7 linked regions of the Sus scrofa genome follow. The protein of the gene in region 1 interacts with the protein of each later gene in a pairwise test. Links are inferred from orthologs where the notes say so. Each region holds a gene or a part of one and is shown on either strand. Other genes may lie near its edges. The genes, in order: KXD1, TCEA2, MAP1LC3A, EXOC7, LRRC45, IFT20 and C8H4orf46.

Region 1 (4,187 bases):
AGTCACTCTTATCACTTCACCTTGTTTTAACTGCTGCACTGGCACATCTCTTTCTGAAGTTATCAGTCGACCCATTTGCCTGTCACCCCTATAGCAACGTCAGCTGCAACAGAGCAGAGGCATGTTGTTTGTGCTCACTGCTCTGTCTCCAGAGCCTGGCCCAGAACCTGGTTCACACCAAGGATTGGGAAAATTAGTTTGGTGGAGGCAAACGGACCCTTTCAAACCCAGCTCTGAAGCTGGATTAGAAGTTAAAGGCAAGAACGGGAGTTCCCTTCATGGCTCAGTGGTTAACGAATCCGACTAGGAACCATGAGGTTGCGGGTTCGATCCCTGGCCTTGCTCAGTGGGTTAACAATCCGGCGTTGCCGTGAGCTGTGGTGTAGGTTGCAGACATGGCTCGGATTCTGAGTTGCTATGGCTCTGGTGTAGGCCAGTGGCTACAGCTCCGATTACACCCCTAGCCTGGGAACCTCCATATGCCACGGGAGTGGCCCTAAAAATGGCAAAAAGACAAAAAAATAATAATAACAATAAAATAAAATAAAATTTAAAAAAAAAAAAAAAAAAGAAGTTAAAGGCAAGAACTTGGGGCACTGGCAGCCAGGCTGTGGGTCCCAGCAACTCAGATGGCTTGGTAGCCTCCAGCTTCCTTGACACACAGATGCCATCCCAGGAGGTGAAGACTTCCTGGACCATGCCAGGGCAGGAGGGGGCCACAGCTTCAGGACTGACCTTCCTGAGGGGGTTCAGGAAAAACCCAGAATCCTGACACAGCTTGGCTCTAGGGACTGCACATTTAATGGCCCACAGAAAGGCCCACATGCAATTGATTATATTCACACACAGGATCAGGAAGGGCTTTCAGAGCCTGCTAACTCTACTCCCCTCTTTGTTACCTACTGTATGCTAAACAGGACACCAACTTCAAACACTGGCAATTGTTATCATCCTTATTTCTATATGACAAAACTGAGTCTCAGACACTGAAGAACTGAGCCACTGTCACATAGCCAGTGAACTTGAGTCACAACTTAAATGCCACGGTCCACAGGATCCACAAACTCTGGACAGATGTTCAGTATCCACCTGTGACAGAACAACTGCTTCTTACAGCAGCTGATTCCTGCCAGACTTCTGATTTTTTCCAGAAAAAAAGCTGAGTTCTTTAGTGGCACAGTAGGTTAAGGATCTGTGTTGTCATTGCAGCAGCTTGATCCCTGGCCTGGGAGCTTTCGGATGCTGCAGCATGGCCAAAACAAACAAACTGAAACATATATTTTTCCCCTTATGAAATCGCCTCATTTACAAATGTTAGCAACTAACACTTTTTTTTTTTTTTTTTTTCCCCAAAGCTATAGAGGCTGAGAGTACATATCTATTTGTGCTCTGAATCTAGCTAGGGTCTGCAGCCTTATGTGCCTTCTGGAGATGAACTGCCACACCTGATGAAACCCCCCTCCCCCGCCCCCAATAATCACCATGTTTATTTTGTTCTGACTGTGTGCCAGGTATGGACGCTCACAGCCTCCACATTTCCAAAGATCATATATAAAGAGGATACTTGGGCTCTCAAAGGACAGAGGCATGTGGCAGGAACCCCACAACTAGGCCTGGAGGGCAAAACATTTGGACCCCGGGAAATGGTTCTGCTTCAAAGTAAGGCTCTTTCCTGTCTCTGGCTCCCAGATGTGAGGGCTGAGAGATTCAATGCATACTCCCTCACCAGCTGCTTCTCACGGGAAGCCTTCCCTGACTAAGTATCGGTCTGACCCATATACAGGGTGAAAAATGATCCAGTATAGGCACTAGTCCCAGCTCCAAATATATTTATGGGGGAAACACGCAGAGAGGGAGGCTCCGTGACCTTAGGAAAGTCACCTCACCTCCTGGGTCCTTCTCATCCAGAAGCTAGGAATAACAAAGAATCAGAATCTCACAACACTATCTTTGGGTAATGAAACCAATAGTGATGAGACAGTGGACTGGTAGCAGGCAGTTTCTCCGAGGGGAGTGTTAAGAAAACCTAGGACTGGGCCAAGAATCACTATTCTAATGAGGGTCTCCCCAGTGCTTCCAAGAATACAAACGAACACTTGTAAAACACTTCATTTAATCCCTAATCACCCCTGAGAGGCAGATAGACTGACACTATCATTTCCGAAGGCAACCAAGGCTAGAGAGGTGGGCTCAGTTGCCCAAGGTCACACACCTAGGCAGAGAGACGCCGCGACTCCACCTAGATCATTTAACAGAATTTAACTGGGCTACCCCAGCTCTGCAAAACCCCCCAGTGCGGCGGGGCTCACAAAGCCCCTCAAGCCCCGCCCCTGTGAAGCCGGGAAACTGAGGCCTAAGCAGGGAAAAGCCCGGTTCTGGGTGATATAGCACAGCTTCAACATAGACGCCCCCAACTCTGGCGCCCCGGATCCGGATCCAGCCCACGGCGCCGTCCGCGCGTCCACTGCGCAGCCGGGGAAACTGAGGCCTGTGCGCAGGGTGTCCAGATGTTGCCAGCGGCGCGCCCCACCCCGCGACAGCCCGGGGACTGCTCCCGCCCGGCCCAGCTGCCCAGAAGCCCCTGCGTCCCCAGCCCCACCCTGAACTCGGCCCCGGCGTCGGTGGCAGCAGCACCTGCACATCTGGCGGCCTTGCTCGCGCTTCCGGGATGGCGCCAGTGCCGCCTCAACGTCATCACGTACCATGAGTGCTAGCGCGCGTGTCCGCAACGTGCCCGGGGCCGACTTGCGTGCGTGGAGGCGCGGCAGGAAGAGGTGGGACTTAGACGCAGTTACTGTTTGCGGGGAGGGGGTTCATAACAAATAGCCAATCAAGCAGTCCCTCGCGCGCCTGCGTAGTTTCCAAAACCCTGCTCCTTGGCAGCCCGGAAGGGCGGGGGGAGGGGTGGAGAGAGAGGCTGAAAACACGCCCAGTTTTGTAAGTGGTAAGACAGAGATCCGAGAGTGGCGGGCATTCCCACAAGGGCATATAGTGCTCTAGTGGCCTGTGGTCGACCCAGACCCACGTGTTATGTTTTCCAGGCTGGGAATCAGACTCATTCCGCTTCAAAAATCCCTGCTCTGCTTTTGGTGACCTTTTTCTGGCCAGGCTAGGGGTCAAATCAGAGCTGCCGCTACCAGCCTATGCCACAGCCACAGCCAAGCAGGATCCGAGCCACATCTGCAACCTACACCACAGCTCATGGCTACACCGGATCCTTAACCCACTGAGCCATGCCGGGGATCAAACCTGCAACCTTGTGGTTCGTAGTCGGATTCTTTAACCACTGAGCCGCAACGGGAACTCCGGATTAATTATCCTTAGTTATTGAGGCCTTGTGATATGTGTTACATATTATATATCTTATTTTTCTGGTCCTCAGTTTAACTGTGAGTCCAGGTGAACACAGGATCTGCCTCTTAAGGTTACCAAGAGCTTGGGAGAAATACACATGCTCCTGGGCACACGGAAGTCTCTTTGAGAGCCCTGGAATTGGACATATCTGAGTTCAAATTCCAGTTCTATCAAATCCTGGTTGGGGGGGCCTGGTGCAAGTGGCTTAACTTTATGAGATCATGCAGGTAAATCTCTTGCAACAAAAGACTTGGTCCAATGCAAGCCCTCAATAAACTAGGGGTAAACTGTATTATCACTGCCATGCTCTCCTTCCTTCATTCATTGAATAGTTAATGATGACTAGGATTCTTATTTATAAGGCCAGGATTCCAGGATTTCTATATATTCTTATAGTTGAATCAATAGTTTTTGTTTTGTGGGTTTTTTTTCAGCTGCCCTGCAGCATACAGAGTTCCCAAGACAGGGATCAAATCCAATCTGCAGTTGCAACCCAAGCCATAGCTTTGGCAACACTGGATCCTTATCAAACCTGCATCCCAGAGCTCCCAAAACGCTGCTGATGCTGTGGTGCCACAGTGGGAACTTGAAACCAATAGTTTGTTTTGTTTTTTGTTTTTTTGGGTTGTTTTTTGTTTGTTTGTTTTTGCTTTTTAGGGCTGCACTTGCAGCATATGGAAGTTCCCAGGCTAGGGGTCCAATCAGAGCTACAGCTGCCAGCCTACACCACAGCCACAGCAACGTCAGATCCAAGCCGCATCTACAACTCATACCACAGCTCACGGCAATGCCGGATCCTTAACCCACTGAGCAAGGCCAGGGATCGAACCCTC
Region 2 (2,476 bases), on another chromosome or scaffold:
GCTCGGGCCTCTTGCGGCTGCAGAGAGACAGGCCCACTCGGGCCGCCAGCACCCCCCGTGAGACACCGGCCCCCAGAAAAGACAACGTCACAGCCACGAGACCCCCAGGCCCCACCTGCTCCAGCCGGACGGCCCTGCCCCTCTGCGGTCTGGCCCAGCACGTCCCTGGCGTCGGCTCAGGCGGCCAGAGGCAGCGCGGCTCCCAGAGCCAGGAGTGCTCCCAGCGGGGGTCCCCACCCCCAGGGGCCTGGAACACGGGGCCACGCTGCCCAGTGCAAACCGCCGGGTCAGGCAGAAGCAGACGGGGCTGGAGGCCGCCCCAAAGCAGGTACCACTCCGCAGGCAGCCCCACCCAGCACCCCCCGCGGGCTGTCTGGGCGTCCACCCAGCCCTCCCCTCACGCCCCTGCATCTCGTGACCCCGTGACCTCCACGGAAGTCAGTGGAAACAGGAGGCTTCCTGGAGAAAAACAACACGTGCAGGTGGGCGGATGAGCCACACTGTGAATCCAAAGCTCAGCTCTTCCTGGCCCCTGGCCCCTGCTGCCCAGTTGGGTCAAGGGCAAGGCAGCCTCTCAGCACAGTCCATCCCCACGACCACCGTCCCTGGGGCAGTGGGCCCAGCGGCCAGGGGCAGCCCCGGGAGGGCGGAGCCGGCCCACAGGCACCGGAGCCCAGACCGGGGCCTGGAGCCAGGGGATGTGATTAGTGGGTGCCCACAGGCCACTGAGGGTGTGGGTCAGCTCCCTGTACCTGGGCAGACACAGCCTCCCTCAGACATTCACGGCTGAAAAGACCCAGAGAAGTCCCTGGAGGGAAAGTGTCCAGCAAGAGGCTGATCGGGGAGTGGTGCAGTGGTTAACGAATCCGACTAGGAACCATGAGGTTGCGGGTTCGGTCCCTGCCCTTGCTCAGTGGGTTAACGATCTGGCGTTGCCATGAGCTGTGGTGTAGTTTGCAGACACGGCTCGGATCCTGCGTTGCTGTGGCTCTGGCGTAGGCCGGTGGCTACAACTCCGATTCGACCCCTAGCCTGGGAACCTCCATATGCTGTGGGAGCGGCCCAAGAAATAGCAAAAAGAAAAAAAAAAAAGAGGCTGACCGGGCTGGGCACAGCCCCCTGGGGAGGGGCCCTCCAAGGAGCTGAAAGGGCTGTGTCCTTACGGCCTCAGCCCCCCGCCTGGAACTCAGGACACCTGAAACCTAGCAACCTCGTCTGCCAAGAAAGTGGGGACGTGGGGGAGGGGTGCACCCGCCTTCCAGATGTGCTACCTGGGATCCTTGGCCTCAGAGGCCTCCTTGGAAGACGTGGGCAGAGGCCCGCCCCTCCTCCGCTCCCTGGCTTTGGCGTCTGAAGCATCTGCAGGTGCCAGGAAAGAAGGGAGGGCTGGCCAGGAGAAGGCAGACCCGGAGGGCCAGGGAGGGGAGCAGACCACCACCCAGGCACAGCCCCGGCCAGACCCCTGGCCCCAGCCCGAGGACCCTACCTCCAGCCCCAGCTTCCTGGGGGCCCGCTCTCCCCAAGCCAAGAACAGTCCCCAAAAGGCTCCCAAACCACTTTCCCACACACGCTCCTACGCAGCAGGCCACCTGTGAGGCGCATGTGGGGGCCCCATCCTGGCAGAGGGGCTGCCGCTCGCCAAGTGATCCCTGAGCACAGAGACCCCCCCGAGAGGTGGCCTCCACAGAGGCGTGTGAACTTGGACCAGAAGCGTCCCGCACGCCACCAGGGGAAACGTGCTGGTCCAGCACGCAGCCCGACAGGACTGGAGGAAAGCCCGGGACGCACAGCTGTTTCCCGGGGCTTCGGACCAAGCTGGGAGGGGCTCGGAAGGGAGGGGAAGCTCAGGGTCCAGGGTGGGCACTTCTGCACCCCAGGGCACCCCACTGTCCCCAGAAAGGGGCCACCCCTGGTTCCCTCTGAGTGGCTGTGGACCTTCTTCCTCCTCGCCCACTACCCTCTCCCCCAGGTGGGGACATTCCCCCGCGTGGCATCCCCCAGCTCCGCTGGGTCCCCCTGAGGGCTCAGCACTGCCTCCTCCCTCAACGGTCCCCTTGCTCCGCGTGGAACCCTCCCCTCCCAGCCCTGAGCCGGAGCCTCCTGGACCAGGCCTGCCCCCCACAACTCCTGGGGGCCACGGCTCAGGGACAGCATAGCCAGCGCCCTGCCCAAGGCTGACCTTGGGGTGCCCCTCGCCCCAACACTCAGCCCAGGCTGCCCGACCCGCACCCAGGAGCTTCTTCCAGGACTTGATGAGAGACTTGGCCAGTGTGACAACCTCCTCGTCCGAGCTTTGCTTCCGCAGGGCGTTGACAGACATGCCGACGCGGGTGGACTGCAAGGCAAGCGGCCGGCTGGGGGCGGGCAGACCTTCCCCAGTGACCCCAGCACCTCCCGCAGGGCAAGGCTGGGGACTCCGCCTGAGGATGACTGGGAGGGACAGTGTCAACGCTCGAACGCCCCCCCCATCTCACTG
Region 3 (3,607 bases), on another chromosome or scaffold:
CTGCACGGACCTCAGGGGGCGAAAGGCCCAGAAGCTGGGCCAAGCCCTCTAGCCAGCGTTGCCAGCAGGCAAGCCCTGGGGCAGATGAGGTTTGAGTCCAGGGTCATGAATATCTGGCACCAGTGAGGAGCCAAGGCTGGCAGCAAGGCCTGTGGGGCGGAGCCAGGAGTCTCCACCTGGCCCCCACTGTGTGGCTCTGCACACCAGGAGCCCCTCCCAAGCAGGAAAGGGGAAGAAGCAGGTGAGCAGGGTTTGTTAGGCTGTGGCTACTTAATAAATGTTTCTTTTGTTATGAAAACGTCTACCTGGAACCATGCTGCCCTCGTGGAAGAGGTGGGCTTGGCCTCTAGTACCCCCACGATGCACTATACACAGGCGTGGGTTTCCTGAATGAGCCCTGAGTCCACAGCACACAAGTCTGTGCACCAGTGAGAGGACAACGGTGGGGGCAGCCCCACCCACAGCCCTCCCCACTCCCCAAGCAGCTGGAGGCAAAGGGCCAGGCAGGCCTGAGCAATCTTTATTCTGCAAAGGGACAATGACCACAGAGCCATACACCATGTCAAGACCAGGTGAGCCAGGACCCAGTCCTTCAGGGGTGGGCAGATCCAGGCATGGGCAGCGCCTCAGGTTGGGGAGGGACAGGTGGGCAGACAGGCAGGGGTCTAAAAAAAAGACAAACCACACAGGGCAGGGGTGCTGGGGGCTGCTTCCCACTCTTCCCCCTCCCAGCCAGCACCCGGAGGGGCAACCCTAATATGACTGGGCCAGAATCCATCCAGGGGCAGAGTAGGGGTGATAGGTGCCCTCTGGCTGGGTGGCAGCATCCCTGTCCAACCCACCAGGGGCAGGGGCAGAGACAGCTTAGTTCCAGTGCCAGGAGCTCCCTGGGCAGAGCCTGACAGGGCCCCCGACTCCCAGCCAACACCCCCTACTGCTGGCTCAGAAGCCGAAGGTTTCCTGGGAGGCGTAGACCATGTAGAGGAAGCCATCCTCATCCTTCTCCTGCTCATAGATGTCCGCGATGGGCGTGGACACGCTCACCATGCTGTGCTGGTTCACCAGCAGGAAGAAGGCCTGCGTGGGGTTCAGCTGCAGGCGGCGCCTGAGGTGGGCGGGAGGGCAAGCCAAACGTGAGGGGCCTGGCCGCTGGGTGAGTGTAGCCCTCACCCCCTACCCACCCTGACTTTGATTCTCCCCCTCACACCCATCCCAGCCCCTTCTAGAAGCTCTCACCTCTGACAAGATACTGATCCCAGGCCTGACCTTGACCGTTCCCAACCTCCCCAGAAGAGGGCTTCGGCACCCCGTCCCATGTCCCACCCCCACCCCTTCCTTCTCAGAAGGACCCAGACCAATGCCTGATCCCAGCAGGACCCAAGTCCCCCTCCTGACAGCTGCTGCCAGCGCACCGGATGATCTTGACCAACTCGCTCATGTTGACATGGTCTGGGACCAGGAACTTGGTCTTGTCCAGGACTGGCAGCTGCTTCTCACCCTTGTAGCGCTCGATGATCACCTGGGAGTGAGGTGGGGCGGGGACGCGTGAGCGGGAGGCTGGACCTGGGGCCAGGGGACGGGGGCGGGGTATGCGGTAGGACTCACCGGGATCTTGCTAGGGTGCTGGTCGCGGATCTGCTGCACCTCCTTACGGCGGTCGGCTGCAGACAGCAGTCGGGGATGAGGCCAGCCGAGGTTCTCCTTGGGTTCCGCCCCACTAGTCCCCGAGGGGCGGCCCCCGACCCCGCCCCGCCCCCCGCCAAGCCCCAGGCGGGTGGAGGTAGGGCCAGGGCCGGGGCACAGCACTGGGATGGGAGGCGGAGGCCCGGGCCCAGGCCCTAGCCTGCTTCCCAGCCCAGGGGTCCAACCCGAGCTTGACGTCATGAAGCTGACGTCACCTGCGGCAGACAAGTAGATCTGCCAACACCCCCGACCCCCCCACGCCCCCACCCCTAGCGCTCGCAGATCGCCAGTCGGGCCTCACCGAAGCTCCGCCGCTGCTTGAAAGGCCGGTCTGAGGGCATCGCACAGGCCCGGCGGAGCGCGCAGGCCGGGGCTCCCGGTCGCGCGAGGCGGGGAGGTGGCTGTGGTTTGGGGGCTCCGGGGGCTCCGCGTCTCCCGCTCAAGGGCTCTGGGGCTCGCGCTGAGCCCAGCGGCGGCGGCTCGGGGAGGTAACTCGCCCGGGTGACGTCAGGTCATAACATTCCTTAAAGGGGAGGCCAGCGCGCCGTTCCCATTGGGCCGACGCAAAATCTGCCCGCCCGGGCCCGTGACATCACGGCGCAGGGAGCCTGCATTCCCGCCCCCACCCCCAACCCCACACTGCGAAGGAGGGGAGGCGCCCAGTGAGCGTCACAGTCCTGTGACGTCACGGCCTGTGCAGGGGCAGGCGAGGTGGGCTCCCCCAGGCCCAGGGTGAGGGGAGAATGGACGCCAGCAAGGCCAGGGAGCAGGCTGGCTGGTCTGGCGGTGGGGAGAGCTGGCCAGGCTGCGGCATAGCATCCTTCTGTTTCCACTGTAACCAAGGCGTCAGACAGCCCTCGCTCAGAGTCTTTTCTGTTCCAGGGACCGTATGAGGCATTGGGGATGACAACAGTGAACCAGAAGTCTTCATCCTGGAGCATATGGTTAGAGAAAGAAAAAGGTAGTGGTCATTGTGGGGGGTTGGGTGAGCATTAAAACATGAAGACAGCAAGACACTGAAAAGGAACCTAGAGGTTTTAGAAGGAATTTCTAGAATTGAAAAACAGCTACTGAAATTCAGGTCTCAGAAGGACGAGGCAAGCAAGCCCTGTTAGATATAGCAAAAAAGAAAATCACTGAAGTGGATGAGAGAGCAGAAGCAATTACCTGGAAAACAAACCATGTTTACATGGTATAAAATAAGTGACAGAAATGGCAAAGTGAGAATTCACAGGTCTAATTAGCATTCCAGAAGGAGAGAAAAGACCGTGAAGCTCTGGAGAAAAACTTCCAAAATTGATTAAAAACCAGGATCCTCATATAACATCCAGAACAGAATAAATAAAAACTCATCTAGACACTCTGTAGTGAATTTGCCCAACTCTAAGGAGAAGAAATTAGAAAAATGGTAAGCTACTAAGCTGGTAAAATGGGAAGTGGATCTAAACAAACACCTGCTGTGGAACAAGAATGGTGCTGATGAGTCTGGAGCATAGCACAGGAGCATGGCACATGTAGGACTGGGGAGGGGGGTCAGAGGTCAAGTGTTTTAAGAAGCTTGATTTATTGGAGAGGAAGAGGATAAAGCTAACTGATAATTACCTGGCTTTGTATAGTCAAGTATGTATTTCAAACACTTCAGAGGGATCACTCAAAGAATAGAAAGTATATGTCAATGCATAAAAGAGAAAAGTTTAGTAAAGGGTATTAAAAAAATGTAATAGATAGAAAAAGAGAAAAGGGAAAGCAAAGTGAAAAGAATGGTATATAAATGGTACAAAACCAGAGGTATTAAATGTTTTACATTCACCTGTTAAAACAGATGAACAAATTGGCCAAGAAAAATAAAATGCAGCTCTGCTGTTTACAAGAGGACATTTAAAACCTAAGGAAATCAAAAGTAAAAAGATGGGAAAAAGTATAT
Region 4 (3,500 bases), on another chromosome or scaffold:
AAAACAGCACTGAAAACAGACATGCGCAGCTGCCCTGATAACCAGATGGGCCGGGGCCGGGAAGGCAGCCCTGAGTGGGATCTGGTCCCTTTTCCCTGGAGACGCCCAGGTCCTCCACCGCAGCTCTGAACACGGGGAGCCTGCTGGGGTCCTGGCAGCTCCCCAAAGGACTGAGGGAGAGGGGACGGCGTCTGGAGCGGCTGTTTGTGCCAACCACAATTAGTTACTCATGAGCCAGTGTGCGGCTCCAGCCCGGCACCTGTCTCGCTGTGTTCTCCTCCTTCAGCAAGTAGTCCTGCTAATGAGCGATTCAGATTCCCGCCCCACAACCAACTAGGACCAGATGGGCCCGCCGGGCCATCAGGAGCCTCGCCAGCACACTGGCATGTATGTGGGTCGGGGACGCTGATCTGGCAGCCGCTAAAGCCATCAGGCGCCCAGTTACCACGGATGTCGCTGAGGCTGGTGTCTCGTTACCCCCGAGGCCACCCTGCCCCTCTCCTCAAGAGCTGGGGGCCTGCCTCTAGCTCCCAACATCGGACCTGAGCCCCAAGGTTCCGGACAACCCTTGAAACCCCAAAGAAACCAGAGGGACGCTCACAGCCGGCGTTTTCCTTCTAGGGCTACAGGGCTGGGATGGATGAGGTCCACTGGGAGCCCAAAGATCAGATCTCTGGTCCCTGCATGGCCAGCAGCATCCTGCATGTGGCCTGGGTTCCAGGCCTCCAGGGGTCCCAGAGGAGACAGAGGGGAAGAAAGCACAGCCCGGCCGGGGCCCAGCAGCCTCGTGGAAACAGCCGCAGCCCAATGCACGAGGCACAGGCACGAACCAGGCCTCGAGCAGGCAGCTGCGGCTGCCCTGGCTGGCTTGTAGAGTCCCTGACCGTGGCAGGTTCTCCGAGGGAGCAGCCAGGAGAGCCAAGCTGGAGGGGAAGGCTGTGCACTTTCTGCTGGGCTGCCCGGCCTCTGGACCTCGACGCTGTGCCTCTGCGGGCAGCCTCTGCCATTTCTCTAAGCCCTGAACAAAGCGCTGGGGAGGAGCAGATGCTCGGGCCACTGTGAGCAGATCTCCTGCTCTCTGAGAGGCCGGGCAGCTCGGGAAAACACTGTCCCAAGGGACGGGTCCCAGAGCAGCTGGACGGGGTGGGCGAAAGTGGGAGCAGCCCCAGGGCTCGCTGGCTCTCTCTCCTGGTGCCTGCAGCCCCTCCGCTGGAACCCCCACCCCGGCCTCTCGAAGGCAACCCCTCTCAGCAGCCAGAACAGCCAGGCTTGTCAAGCCGAAGCTGACACACAGGGACACTGTCACCTGGAGCAGAGACTACAGGGGACAGGATGATGGGAAGAAGGACAGACAGTGAGCTGCTCGCCCAGGCCAACCAACAAGCCACAGCCCAGGCCTCTTCCACCTCAATGCCCCTCCCTCAACTCTCCCACCGCAAGGCACCAACTTCTTGCGGAGCCCAAAAGCCAGGTGAGGGTCTTTGGAGAGGATGGCCTGGGATGGTTTTCTTTCTGGACTGACTGTAAAAGCATAAACGTTCCTGTATCTACTTTTTTTTTGCCATGGCTGAGGCATGTGGAAATTCCCGGGCCAGGGATCGAACCTGCGCCACAATAGTAACCAGAGCCACAGCAGTGACAACACCAGATCCTTAACCCTTTGAGCCACCAGGGAACTCCTCTGCTCTCCACTTCTTAGCTACTCATCACTTCAGGCCACTCTGGCTTTCTGGGAGGTGAAGGCTGCAGTGCCTGCCCCTCGCCCTGCACCCCTGACACCCTGCCCCAATCTCACAGCTGGGTGGCAGCAGCATGCCTGGCCTCCCAACAGGACACTAGAGGGAGAGGACGGGGGCCCAATAAGTGGCTCTGCTCCGGCACCCCTGTCACCCCACGTCTCCGTGCTGTGACCCTCCACTCCAAGGACACTTATATAAGCCCTAGACTCGGCTGGGTGGAGAGAGGAGCTCTTTTGGGGGGCGGACACCTGCCTGCTGTCCTGTGCCCCTACAGTCAGGGGCTACCGTGAGGACAAACCCTAGGGCCCTGGCGCCGCCCACCCCGGGGTGGGTGGCCAAAGGCCACCCAGGTCCCACAGCCTTCTGGCGGGTTCTGAAGTGGGCCAGGGCGGGGGCTCACCTGGCCGCTTGACTGGCTTCTTGGTGGGTGTGTCTTTCCTCTTGTTGGGGATGGCGGGGGAGTAGGGAACCCCAGAGGAAGAACTGCTCTTCCGGAAGTGCTCCTTCAGGCCTTTGATGGAGCGGTCCAGCTGGCTCGAGCGGATCTGGTAGTAGACGTTCATGAAATCTGCGGACAGACGGGTGACAGCTGGGTCCCTGCCTCCGCCAGACCCCGGGGCCCCCCTCCCCCGCCAGAGGCAGCTCCAGAGGGCAGCAGCAGGCCCGCTCTTTCCACTTGCAGACCCTTTCCCAGCAGCCTCGTGGCCTCGTCCTGCATCTGGAAAAGCCTTAAAAGGGAAGACATTTCCCCGCAGAACCAATAATTCGTTGTAAGTTCTGAAGGTGAGGGGTTTTTTTTCTTTTAGAATTTTTTTTTATTATAGTTGATCTACAACGTTCTGTCAATTTCTGCTGGGCAGGTAAGTTTTTGAGATTTTAAGAAAATAGAAAATTAGCAGCCGGATTCAACTTGGTAATGTATTCTTTTTTATCTTGTTCAGCCACACCCACGGCACATGGAGGTTTCTGGGCCAGGGATCAAATCTGAGTTGCAGCTTCGAACTATGCCATCGCTGTGGCAACGCTGGGTCCTTAACCACTGCGCTTGCCGGGGATTGAACCTGCGCCACCACTGGATCCTTAATCTACTGTGCCACAGCGGGCACTCCTCGACTTGGTAAATTTATAGGTGGTAAAGAGACAACGAATGTCACTGAGTGAAAAAACACACCATCTCTTTAGCCATGAACGAAGTGCAAATTTAAAAAAACTAGAGGACCGTGGCAGCCCTGTTAAATAGCTAAGATAAGCAAAATTAATGAAGAAGAAATAACTGCAGGGTTGTCAACAGGTCAGCAGACTGGTCCCATCTACCTGGAGAGGAACTCGAGACGGCAAGAAGGTTACAGATCTGTTCAGACAGTTCTACCTGATAACTGTACCTTTGAGAAAATACCCCCAAAGAACTCCCTAAATAAGAAGAGCAATGGGGGTTCCCATCATGGCAAAGAGGAAAGGAATCTGACTAGGAACCATGAGGTTGCAGGTTCGATCCCCCCTGGCCTCGCTCAGAGGGTTAAGGATCCGGCATTGCCATCAGCTGTGGTGTAGGTCACAGATGTGGCTTGGATCCTGCGTTGCTGCAGCTGTGGGGTAGACTGGCAACTGTAGCTCTGATTCAACCCCTAGCCTGGGAACCTCCATATGCCATGGGCGCAGCCCTAAAGAAAACTGGACAATCCAAAAATGCAAACGAGCCTGGAGAAGTATGGATGCTGTGGTACATTTCAGCAGGTCCCAACAAGTGTATCCCAAGGAACC
Region 5 (3,996 bases), on another chromosome or scaffold:
GAGAGCTTGCAGCAGCCCGTACCTGCGGCAGCGTCGCAGCGGCCTCGCGCACCCTCCCAGAGTGAGCGCGCGAGCTTGGCGCCACCTGCTGGTCCCACCAAGAAAGCCCAGAAGGCCCTGCTGCCCCACTAGATCCCAGACTCCAGGGAAGAGCTGAAAGAGCCAGGCTGCCACCTGGGGAGCAGCTGCTGCACCGGCTTACCCTGACAACTAAAGGAGCCAGCACCAGCTGGGAGAGGGGGGTCCCCAAGCTTGCAAAGGGCAGCATGAGATCTGGGATTTGGTCAGCCTCTGTCTCTCTGTGTGGAGGACCACAACCCCCCACCCCGGCCCCGTGCCCCTCGCCTGGGACAGGCCTGCTCGTGGGTAATGACGGCAACCCCAGCTCTAGCCCGAGGCCTCAGGGCTAGGACTCCAGAGCTGCCCAGGATCCCAAGAAGGAGGCCCAGCCAGTGCTCCCCTCTGCAGCTATTACAGTGCAGGGAGGGCCCAGCCTCAGTGATTTCCCCTTTGACGCATTAACTCCTTCTAGGCCTGGGCAAAGTGGCCATCCAGGGTGAAGAGGGAGAACTCCCCCACTAGGGGCTGGCTGGACAAGGAAGTCCTCACCCAGGTACACAAAGGGCTGCTATCAAAAGCTCAGTGCTTCCTACCCTTAGCGCAGAGCAACAAAGCGAAACCCAGAGACCACTCACAGCCCGAAGGGTTTGGGAACCGAGCCTGCCGGCCTAGCGACCCACCCACTCGGGCCACGGAGGACTAAGTACGCGCGGGATGGGGGTCGTGGCCGATTCTGGGAATGGGCCGACCCTAGAAGGTACCGGCCGGCAGGACGGGGACTGGTTTAGGGCCCACACGTGGCTCACGCAGGGGGCCGGGCCCCGAGCTCGCTCCCAGTGCCTTCCCCGAGCCCCCTAGCCCGTCCCGCTCCGCCCCGCCTCGCAGTCCCTCGCTCACTTTCCGGAAGCCCGTGCCGCTTTCCTCCATGACCGCCGCCAAGTTGTGCGTTCTCAGAAGCCCGGCCCCCGCGCCTCCAGCCAATCGACCCGTAGCGCGCCTTCTGAAGCCTCGCCCCTGCGCCCCCCAGCCAATGGGGTCGCCGCGCGCGCCCACTCCCTCGCCCTAATTGGTCCTAAGCGAGCGCACCGCCCCCGCAAAGCGTCCTGGGAGTCGTAGTTTCCGCCAGGCCTTCCCGGCGCGCCCCGCTCTTCCTGGATACTGAGGGGCACCGCGGCCGCCAGCCCCCGCGGCAAGCGGGCGGGGTTCCTAGGCGCGAGGCCTGGGGCGGGGGCGGGAGCGGCCCCTCCGCTAGACGCCCCGCCCCCGAGAGCATCCTCCTCCCGGATCCTGGGCTTCGGCGACCCCGAGGATCACCCGCCCCCGCCCTCTCGGGGCCTCCCGCCAGTTGAAGCAACTGTTTGCTCCTCATTCCGCGGTTGCTGAGGGCGTAGGGTCTGTGTGCGCCCCCCTGCGCTGTCGGGGGCTCTCCGTAGACCCCAGGGGGAGGCTTACAGCCAGCAAGGACTGGGGCAGGGGAGCAGGAGCCAGCAGCCCACTTCCCCAGCCTCCCCGCCTCCGGGTGAGGCCTGTCTGGGAGCTTTGCCGGAAGCCCCGCCAGCCCTTCCCTCATGGAGGAGCTCCAGCGCGCCTACAGCCGGCTGTGCAAGGAGAGCGGGGCCGAGCCCCAGGAGGCCGTCCTGCAGCGGCTGCACGGGCTGCTGCGGGGCCGGCTGGACCTGGCCACACAGAGCTTGACGCTGGACACCTGCAGGGCTCTGGGCAAGCTGCTGCAGAAGGAGGCGCTGCTGACGGAACTGGTCCTGAGTGACTGCATGCTGAGCGACGAGGGTGGGCACCGACGGACCGCAGTGGCCACAGCAGCCCTTGCAGCTTCGAAGGGCGGGCAGGGGTCGGCGTCCCTGGGCTTGTTTGCCCTGCTGCTCAGCACCCCCAGGCCTTGGTGCTCGGTGGCCCGCCTGTCCTCTTCTTTGGGAGTCTCCCCTTCACTGTAGTCAAAGCAAGCAGCAGCATTCACTCGGGAAACTGGGGAGCATCTCTCTGTAGCGAAAAAACCTTAGCGCCCCCAGCCAGCTGGCTTAGGAGAGTCCGCATGGGGGGGGGTCTGCAGCCGGACTCCGCACCTGCCGCGTGTCAAACCTGACACAGGAGTGGGGCGACTGACTCATTTTTGGCATGAACCCTGGCTGGTCGGGGACCCTCGTCCCTTCCCTCCGTCTGGGGAGCTGCCCCTGATGGAGCCACCAGGAGCGGAGAGTGACTGTCCTGGTCCCTTACAGGAGCCACGATGTTGCTGCAGGGACTGTGTGTCAACACCGTGGTGCGGTTTCTGGATCTAAAGGTGGGTGGATCTGCGCTTAGGGCCCTGCCCCCCGGCCAGGGAGAGTAGCGAAGCTGCAGTTGTCCTGGGGCCCGGGGATCCCGATGGCGGCGAGAGATGGTGTCTGTACGCACTGACTCTCAGTCTCCTGCACGTGTGCCAGTGTTCTGAGGGCAGGAATGTGAGTTCCAGAGCATTCCACAGCAAACCAAGAGCCTGCATCAGGGGGCCACTGTGGTCAGGGAAAGCAGAATCTGAAAGGATTCCGCGCTTCCCGCCCATAGCTCGCTGTGACCTCACCCACTTCCCAATGAGGGTGTTCGGAGCCCGGCCCAGGACTCCAGGAATGACGGGCTGGCCTCTTCCTGTTCTAGGGCAATAACCTTCGCGCTGCAGGAGCTGAGGCTCTGGGAAAACTCCTCCGACAGAACAAGTCCATCCAGAGGTGAGGTGGCGGTCCCAGCCTTTGCTCCTTCTCAGCATGGCTCTGGGTTGGCTCCAGAGGACGCGGTGCACTCCTGCGCGCCAGTCTTCCTGGGCTGCGCATGGACGGGGGTGAGTGTTTCTCGAGGCTCCAGCCTCTTTACCACAGCCTCTCGAGCCTGGTGCAGCCCATGGAAGCTGGAGGCCCCATGAGGCCACACACCCCCCGTGCACCCTTCCTGCAGCCTCACCCTGGAGTGGAACAGCCTGGGCCCGTGGGAAGACGCCTTCGCCACTTTCTGCGGCGCCCTGGCAGCCAACAGTACCCTGCGGCAGCTGGACCTCCGCAACAACCAGATCAGCCACAAGGGCGCCGAGGAGCTGGCCCTGGCCCTGAGGAGCAACGCCAGCCTCCAGCAGCTGGGTGAGGCCGCCTGGCTCCGGGCCCTGGTCCTCAGACCAGGCTGGGCGGTCTTGGTCGGGGCAAGGGCTTCATCTCTGGCCCCTCAGCCCTGGCTGCTTCCTTTGGTCTGTCCCAGAGCGGAGGGTGTGGGGAACGAGGGCCCCCGACACAGGCAGTGCTGCCCCGCAAAGGAAGTGTCTCAGGCTGCGCCAGCCCCCAGCCCCACCCTGTGCGACCCCAGGTTTCTTTCCAGACCTGCGCTGGAATCACATCGGCCTCCTGGGGGGCCGGGCCCTGGCGAACTGTCTCCCCAGCAACAGAACCCTGTGGAGGCTGGAGCTGGCTGGGAACAGCATCCCCAGCGACGTCCTCAGAGCCGTGGGTACGGGTGGCTTGCACTCCGGAGCAGGGCACAGCGCTGGCCCCTGTGACGGAGGCCTGGCTACCAGGGGAGGAGCTGCTCTGGGCAGCACGAGGAGACACTTCATGGTGGGAGCCGACTGCCCGGTGCTGCTCCTCACCCCCTCGTGCCACAGTCCCCTTCCATCACGACCCCACCTCTGGCCCCAGGGCGGCTGAGCGCCCTGCCACTCCCCTCAGCTCCCTGCCCTGCCTGCTGTGGCGCAAGCTCTTGTAATTGCTCTGCCCCCAGAGCTGCTCTTGGCTGATCGTTTTGTAAACGCTGCCTTGGCTTTTAAGAGCCCACACGCACCTCTTAAAAGCCAAGCAGCGGCCTCTGACTTCTGGGGCAGGGACTAAACACCTACCTCTGGTGGCAGCGGAACAGCCTGCCCCTCCTCCCCCTGCGGGCCTCCCACCCCCACCCCCTTGG
Region 6 (2,299 bases), on another chromosome or scaffold:
CATTTATACAGAAGTGTGTATATGCTACTCTCATCAAGAATTTTTTTGAGGTATAAATAACATATTAGTTTCAGGTGTACAACATAATGTGATGTTTGTATAGGAATTGTTATTTAAAATCTTGTTTTAATTATAGAACGCCTCCCCCAAAAGTCAAGCGTGCAGAAGGATGAGAGGCTAGTGAGCCAGGGTTCCAGGACAAGATTAGACAAAACATGCTGATCTTACCTTCATCTTCTCATTTTCTGCTTCTTTTGCAAGTTGATCAACAAGCTCAATTAAACCACCAACTATTTTCTGAAACTGGCCGATTTCTTTGAGAGAAAGAACAAAAAAGTGTTTTATCTTCTCAGCATCACCACTCTCCCTCAGCATTCCACTGGTGTAGGAAGGCAGGGCTAATTGTCCCTTCTAATTTGTCAAAAAAAGTTTGATATCTGCCACCCTTGGTCTGAACCTAGAGAAGGGTGGCTAGGTTCCCAGAGCTGGACTGGGACATACTTGGATCTTGAGTCCCCACTGGCTCAGGACATGAACGCTGCCTCTAGACAAACCACAGATCAGACACCAGATCTCAGTTAACAGTCGGGTGGGGGCTTTCCTTCTGTGACAAGAACTATTAAAAAACTCAAAGCATTTAAGGACATAATCACCCATTTGCCTTTTTTCAAAGTCCCTGGGTGTGGTGGAACCCCATGTTATTTAAGAATAAACTAAGGCCCAGAGGGTAGAACAACATGAAGCTATGAGAAGACTGGCCAGAGAACCCAAGCTACCTTCACCAGTCAAGCTCTCTGTATAGCCTATGGAGCCCCTGGGAGGCTCAGAAATCCCTGCCTAGCTCTGCTCCATATTCACTGCTACTGCATGTGCCTGGCTGCTGGGACAGGAGCCATTCTGGCTATCTCAAGCTAAAAAAAAAAAAGACTTCATTGAGTCTGTTGAACTGCCTTTAGAAACTCAGTTAATCAACTTTTACTCCAAATAATGGCAAGTCTGCCACCAAGAACACTATTTCTCCCAAGAAATCAAATCATAACTCCATTTCCCACCCCTAAGACACAGTTCTGAAGTTTTAAGGTTCTTGAGCTGGCAGATCTAAACAAACACCCTCCTCTCCCCATGGCAGTGTTTATTTTGATTGGTGCTCTGAGATTGCAGGAGAGCAGAAGAGGGCAGGCAGCCAAGGTGGGTAGAATATGGGATTCATAAAGGCCAGGGCCAAGAGCTGCAGTCAGGGGTGGGGGTGGGGCACAGTTGGAAGAGCTCCAAGCTAAAGGCACCGTGTCTCCCCACACGACACTCACTGTCGACAAAGTCCTTGCACTCTTCTTTGAGCTCTATGGTCTGCTGGGTAACCTCTGGGTCCAACACCCGCAGCTTGTTCAGTTCATCAAAGTGCAGCCCTGCTTCACCCAGGATATCCTTGGCCATAGCTGTAAAGAAACCAGCCCCAATCCCGATCACTTCCCAGCCACCCAAGGAAATGCCTGCTTCTAGCCCAGCCCCCAGTCCTGGCCCCGGACACCAGAGTGAGAAACCCAGAGGCTCCAAAGGCTTCCCCTTCCCTCTGCCTCCGCCTCTCTGAGTCTCACCTGTTTCCCTTCCGGCTTCCCTAGAGAAGTTCTGCTCTGAAGGGGTGACAGTAGCAGCCAGGAGGAGGTATGTCATAGGAGCAAGGGTCAGGAAAGAATAAAGTCCGGTTGCTTGTCACAGGCATCGTTCACTGAACACACATTTCTTGAGTGCCTACTACATGCCAACACTGCTAGATGCTGGGGGCAAAGATGAGTGCAACATGGTGCCCGCCCTGGAGGAGCACAGAGTTTAGCTGGAGGAAGACAGACATATGCACTGAAAAATCATACCATGTTAAGTGCGTTTACAGGTACATCACTAAAGTGCTGGAGGAGACCAGAACAGCTAACTTGGGGTAAGGAAGTGATACATGAACTGAGTTGTGAGCCATAAGTATATTCATGTATCCCCAGTTATGAACCCAAAAGGACATAAAAGAGCTTTTCGAATGCAGTACTGGAACAATACGAAAAGCAAGTAAAAGAGAAAATCTGAGTGAATTAAAAATTAGGGGTAAAAAAAAATAAGAAGCCAGGTGTAAGAATTTTGCCCCCAATGTATGCCACAGGTACAATGGCCTGAACTGGGACCTAAAGTTGAGTCAGTCTTTTTCCAGCAGAAAACACAAAAAGGAATGACGTATCCACAAGAACATACCAAGTACGGAGGTCAAGGAAAGGCATTCCGAGCAGAGAAAACAGCCTGGACAAGAGCATGAAGC
Region 7 (4,137 bases), on another chromosome or scaffold:
GACGCGGCTCGGATCTGGTGTTGCTGTGGCTGTGGTGTAGGCCGGTGGCTACAGCTCCGATTCGACCCCTAGTTTGGGAACCTCCATATGCCGCGGGAGCGGCCCAAGAAATGGCAAGACAAAAAAAAAAAAAAAGAAAGAATTTAGGATTATTACTTGTAAAGCTCCAAAAGTAATAATACACAGCCATAATTCTGATAAGGCACTTTTAAAAGAGCAACCAAACATATAACAACATTGTATACAAGAAATTTCTGTAAAATCAGTTAACCTTAGAAATAAATAGGGGAAAAAATGTGCATTCTTTCAAGTCAAGTTTCATTTTCTTTTTTGAAAATCCATCAGAGAAGGGCAAAAAAATTTGTATTTTAAAAAGATGTTACTAGTTAAAGTTCAAATCCCTGTTAAAAAAGAGAGCAATAATGTTAATGTTTTTCTCCAAGTTAATGAGGTTCTGACTCAAATATTTCTTCAAGAAAAATTTATAATCTTCATGCTAAAAACAGGGAGAAAACGCTGCTTTTAACTGTATTGTCACTGAACATTTAGTGATTATTGTATAACAATGTTCTAGGTGCTGAAAATACAGAATTAAATAAGACACAATAACTGGTTCTACGGAAATTAGCCAAATAGAGCTGAGTCAAACAGTGATAAACCTTAAAGTCATCTCCTTTGTTCCAAAAAAATGAGGCTCAACTTCAAACTCTGCCATGCTTGGTATCTTCTTGCAAATCAAACAAATGGTCTATCTAGTTTGTGACTGGTAACACTGTGGCATTATATTATCTACTGATTGAATTAACTTTCATAAAAGATTGTGTGAAAGTTTAGCAGACATTAAGTATTTAAAGATAAATACTAGTCAGCATCAAAAATAACATTCTATTTTCACAAAATGAAGAAAACCAAGCAAAATTTCATTTTCATTTCACAGAACTGCTGGATTATCCTATCCATATGGTACATCTGCAAATATCGTGAGAACACATGGACTATTACATGGCAAGTCAGTTGTCAGCCTTCAAGGAATCATAGCCTTCTCTCAAGAGGTCCCGCCATGTTTTAAGGAAACGTGCATTTTCTGTACATTTGAAGGCAAGCTCTTCCACTTGAGCTGATACTGCAGATGTGGCTTCGAGAAGTTTGGTTAAGGAAAATGCTGCCTGAAATTTAAAAAAAAAAAAAAAGTCAAACAATATAAGTTGTTTTTTTTTTAATTTTCACCTCATTTTACAAACCAGTCTGAAAATAACAGAACCTCAAATCTGATGCCTCAAATTTAAAGTTATCTTCTTTAAAAGTTAAAAAAAAAATCTTAGAACTAAAATACTGGCTCTTTCAGGGAACCAAAGAAATTCGTTAATATGAAGTAAGCTTTGAGGAAGTAAGATGTGCTAGAAAGATATCCATTATGCATGAGAAATGACCAGTCGATACTTTTTTATTTACAAATCACTAGTCTGATTTAGCTCAACAGGAGACTTGGATCCCTTGACACAAAGTATCAGAAGGAGCTGAAAGACTCCATAAATAACGCTTAATACATGGGTAACAAGGGCATGGCTCCACTATTTTTACCCATGAACGCTGTAGACTATGAAAATGTATAGTCCAAAGAAGAGATGCTCTCAGCTTACAAATAACATCAACAAAATCAAAACAGGTGCAGTAGACAATCATCCCTTGGTGGAAAACTCCTTGATCAAATGCTTTCTTCGCCCACTACATGAAATAGCACTGTTCCTGGATAACACATCAGCACTCCATCCTACAGGGTCACTTGGAAGGAGCGGTGGGCGGAGGCGGGGGAACGAGAGACAGAGACAGAGAGACAGAGACAGAGAGTGTGTGTGTGCTCATGCGCTCCAGTAGCTGGGCGCCTGGAAATTGGAGATTCAACAGAAACCATCCAGACTAGGCATGCCAAGTGCTCAGAGGGAGAGGTCTTTGAACCGTTAGTGAAAGGAATCTGCACCATGGGGTGGTGACTAACCCGTCCTAATTGGATCTAGCGCACAGGACGGTGGGACAGATAATATCTGTCAGCTGACTCTGGGCAGGTGGCCAACTAGGACAGCAGTCCTTAAGTCCCCGGGTAAGAAATCACAGCCTGACCCTCAGCACCCAAGGACAGCAAAGGCGAAGGTGGGGGCGAATGAGATCTGTGTGGTTTCGGGTTACAGCGCGTGTTGGAAACCAGATGGCCAGGCACAAAGAAAACCGGGCGGGGCGGGGCGGGTGGAGGGACACCCCAATTCCCAACGCCTCAACTGGTACACCACATGGGGGAAGGGGCCTTGGGCGGCGTCGGACCCCCACCCTTCCTCACCAGCCCCCCTAGCTGGGCGCGGACCCCGTCCCTCCGGCCCCTCCCGGCCCCGCAGGCCACACCCACGTCTCCGATCTGCAGCTCCACCTCCTCCAGGGGGTCCACTGTCCGGCCGCTGCTCCTGCTTGGAACCGGCCATCCCAAACTCCCCGGGACGCCTGGGGAAGATGCTGAAGATGAGTTTGAAGAGGGAGAGGAGGGAGGCGGCGGGGGAGGCGAAGAAACCAGCAGCTCCTCAGGGTCCTCCATGGAGCCGGGCTGGGCGGCGGGACCGGACTTTGACAGCCGAACCGACACCAACTGTCTTTCAACCGCTCGCGCCCAAAGTCCAGCGACCCCGCCTCCTCTAGTCTCTCGGCGGTGGACCGCGAAGCCCAGTCATTTTCTCCGGACAGCCAATCAGAAACCAGTTAATTCGCCTTGGGCGGCTCTTCACTCCTGCGCAAACCCCCAGTCGGGCAACCTGGACTGTTGAGCCGAAGACTACAACTCCTAGAGTTCCGCGCACCGCCCCGCCTCCGCTTCTTGGCGCCAAGCGCGTTGCACCCTGGGATTTGTAGTCTTCGCTGGTGTCCTCTGCTTGCCCCGGGTGGAAGGGTTCCCTACCCTCTCCGTCTTGGTCTGTGACCCAGAAGTCCTACGGGCAGTCATATCGCGCGTGGCGCAGGCGCACAGCAAGAAAGAGGCGGCAGTACGGTGAAGCCAGAGTGGCCGGCTGAGTAGGGAGGCTGACTCCGCCTGAGACTTCAGTTGTCCCGGCGGGGATGGCGCCCCCCGCGGCCTAGTGGTCCCGTGCCCGGGCGAGCCCCAGCCGGGCCTCCTCCCTCGCTGTACGCCGGGGTCCCGGCTGCCGAGAGCATGATGGTGCCGCTGGCCAAGCTGGCCAGCCCAGGTGAGGAGGGGTCTGCGGGCGCGGGGAGCAAAGTCGAGGGTCTACGAGGGGCGCGCGGGACCACCGCTGGGGGGTGGAACTAGTTCAGAGCAAAGGGCGCAGGGTCGCCGCTGGGTTCCTCCCCTGGGCTTGTCTCAATTGGAAGAGTTGACAACTAGGACATAGGTCATGAATGCAGTGAACTTGTCAACACGGCTCCTGAGCGGAATCTCTCCAAGTCCTGGTGCAGACTCTTATCCCAAGCTCAGGTAATGTCTGTTGCCTTGTTGCAAATGAGTAAATTAACATTTGCACAGATTTTTTTTCCTTGGTCCTCACCTTACTTGTGTATTTGCAGTCATCCTACCCCATTTTAAGAATTCGAAGTCTAGGAGTTCCCTTCGTGGCTCAGTGGTTAACGAATCCGACTAGGAACCATGAGGTTGTGGGTTCGATCCCTGGTCTTGCTCAGTGGGTTAAGGATCCGGCGTTGCCGTGAGCTGTGGTGTAGGTCACAGACGCGGCTGGGATCTGGCGTTGCTGTGGCTCTGGCGTAGGCCGGCGGCTTCAGCTCTGATTAGACCCCTAACCTGGGAACCTCCATATGCCGGGGTGCAGCCCTAAAATAGACAAAAAAGAAAAAAAAAAAAGAATTCGAAGTCTAATGTGGCACATCATCATTAACATGTGTATGCTGCCTGAGTCATCAGACTATCTGGAGCCAGGAATTTTTCTACGTTGTCTAAAATTAACTCTAGGGGCTTATGGTGTTCTGTTTGCCCCTAGAACCATCCTGATGACTTGGTAAAATACCTCATTACCTCCTCTTTTTTTTTAAAAAAAAAAAAAAAAGTAGGATGCAGTTGGGTGGTTTGGGGGATTTTTTTGGAGGGGGTGGTTTATTTAAAAACAAAAGGTTTAAAGTTCAAAAAGT

Evidence for each region.
Region 2: the proteins of KXD1 (region 1) and TCEA2 interact in binary tests that used the Homo sapiens proteins (3 or more experiments, as listed by UniProt). The two-hybrid records come from large-scale screens. The link is inferred for Sus scrofa from reciprocal best matches to the Homo sapiens genes KXD1 and TCEA2.
Region 3: the proteins of KXD1 (region 1) and MAP1LC3A interact in binary tests that used the Homo sapiens proteins (3 or more experiments, as listed by UniProt). The two-hybrid records come from large-scale screens. The link is inferred for Sus scrofa from reciprocal best matches to the Homo sapiens genes KXD1 and MAP1LC3A.
Region 4: the proteins of KXD1 (region 1) and EXOC7 interact in binary tests that used the Homo sapiens proteins (3 or more experiments, as listed by UniProt). The two-hybrid records come from large-scale screens. The link is inferred for Sus scrofa from reciprocal best matches to the Homo sapiens genes KXD1 and EXOC7.
Region 5: the proteins of KXD1 (region 1) and LRRC45 interact in binary tests that used the Homo sapiens proteins (3 or more experiments, as listed by UniProt). The two-hybrid records come from large-scale screens. The link is inferred for Sus scrofa from reciprocal best matches to the Homo sapiens genes KXD1 and LRRC45.
Region 6: the proteins of KXD1 (region 1) and IFT20 interact in binary tests that used the Homo sapiens proteins (3 or more experiments, as listed by UniProt). The two-hybrid records come from large-scale screens. The link is inferred for Sus scrofa from reciprocal best matches to the Homo sapiens genes KXD1 and IFT20.
Region 7: the proteins of KXD1 (region 1) and C8H4orf46 interact in binary tests that used the Homo sapiens proteins (3 or more experiments, as listed by UniProt). The two-hybrid records come from large-scale screens. The link is inferred for Sus scrofa from reciprocal best matches to the Homo sapiens genes KXD1 and C4orf46.

What each region holds. Positions count from the first base shown.
Region 1 is NC_010444.4:59,248,094-59,252,280, forward strand, and holds the start of KXD1 (kxDL motif-containing protein 1), read right to left. Parts: upstream 2,801-4,187; 5' UTR 2,706-2,800; coding exon 2,703-2,705; exon of another isoform or gene 2,600-2,702; intron 1-2,599.
Region 2 is NC_010459.5:62,884,339-62,886,814, reverse strand, and holds part of TCEA2 (transcription elongation factor A protein 2), read right to left. Parts: intron 2,336-2,476; coding exon 2,230-2,335; intron 1,360-2,229; coding exon 1,272-1,359; intron 18-1,271; coding exon 1-17. UniProt on the Homo sapiens protein: Necessary for efficient RNA polymerase II transcription elongation past template-encoded arresting sites.
Region 3 is NC_010459.5:37,956,399-37,960,005, reverse strand, and holds MAP1LC3A (microtubule-associated proteins 1A/1B light chain 3A), read right to left. Parts: upstream 2,177-3,607; 5' UTR 2,025-2,176; coding exon 1,985-2,024; intron 1,662-1,984; coding exon 1,606-1,661; intron 1,520-1,605; coding exon 1,413-1,519; intron 1,106-1,412; coding exon 943-1,105; 3' UTR 501-942; downstream 1-500. UniProt on the Homo sapiens protein: Ubiquitin-like modifier involved in formation of autophagosomal vacuoles (autophagosomes). While LC3s are involved in elongation of the phagophore membrane, the GABARAP/GATE-16 subfamily is essential for a later stage in autophagosome maturation.
Region 4 is NC_010454.4:5,341,495-5,344,994, reverse strand, and holds part of EXOC7 (exocyst complex component 7), read right to left. Parts: intron 2,308-3,500; coding exon 2,140-2,307; intron 1-2,139. UniProt on the Homo sapiens protein: Component of the exocyst complex involved in the docking of exocytic vesicles with fusion sites on the plasma membrane.
Region 5 is NC_010454.4:988,712-992,707, reverse strand, and holds the start of LRRC45 (leucine-rich repeat-containing protein 45), read left to right. Parts: upstream 1-1,196; 5' UTR 1,197-1,628; coding exon 1,629-1,848; intron 1,849-2,297; coding exon 2,298-2,359; intron 2,360-2,712; coding exon 2,713-2,783; exon of another isoform or gene 2,784-2,819; coding exon of another isoform or gene 2,820-2,893; intron 2,894-3,006; coding exon 3,007-3,185; intron 3,186-3,405; coding exon 3,406-3,546; intron 3,547-3,996. Other genes in the region: CENPX (centromere protein X), read right to left, coding at 958-987. UniProt on the Homo sapiens protein: Component of the proteinaceous fiber-like linker between two centrioles, required for centrosome cohesion.
Region 6 is NC_010454.4:44,611,385-44,613,683, forward strand, and holds part of IFT20 (intraflagellar transport protein 20 homolog), read right to left. Parts: 5' UTR 2,236-2,299; intron 1,832-2,235; 5' UTR 1,672-1,831; coding exon 1,596-1,671; intron 1,437-1,595; coding exon 1,308-1,436; intron 315-1,307; coding exon 229-314; intron 1-228. UniProt on the Homo sapiens protein: Part of intraflagellar transport (IFT) particles involved in ciliary process assembly. May play a role in the trafficking of ciliary membrane proteins from the Golgi complex to the cilium.
Region 7 is NC_010450.4:47,605,750-47,609,886, forward strand, and holds the start of C8H4orf46 (renal cancer differentiation gene 1 protein), read right to left. Parts: upstream 2,801-4,137; 5' UTR 2,582-2,800; coding exon 2,399-2,581; intron 1,167-2,398; coding exon 1,011-1,166; 3' UTR 1-1,010. Other genes in the region: ETFDH (electron transfer flavoprotein-ubiquinone oxidoreductase, mitochondrial), read left to right, coding at 3,191-3,224.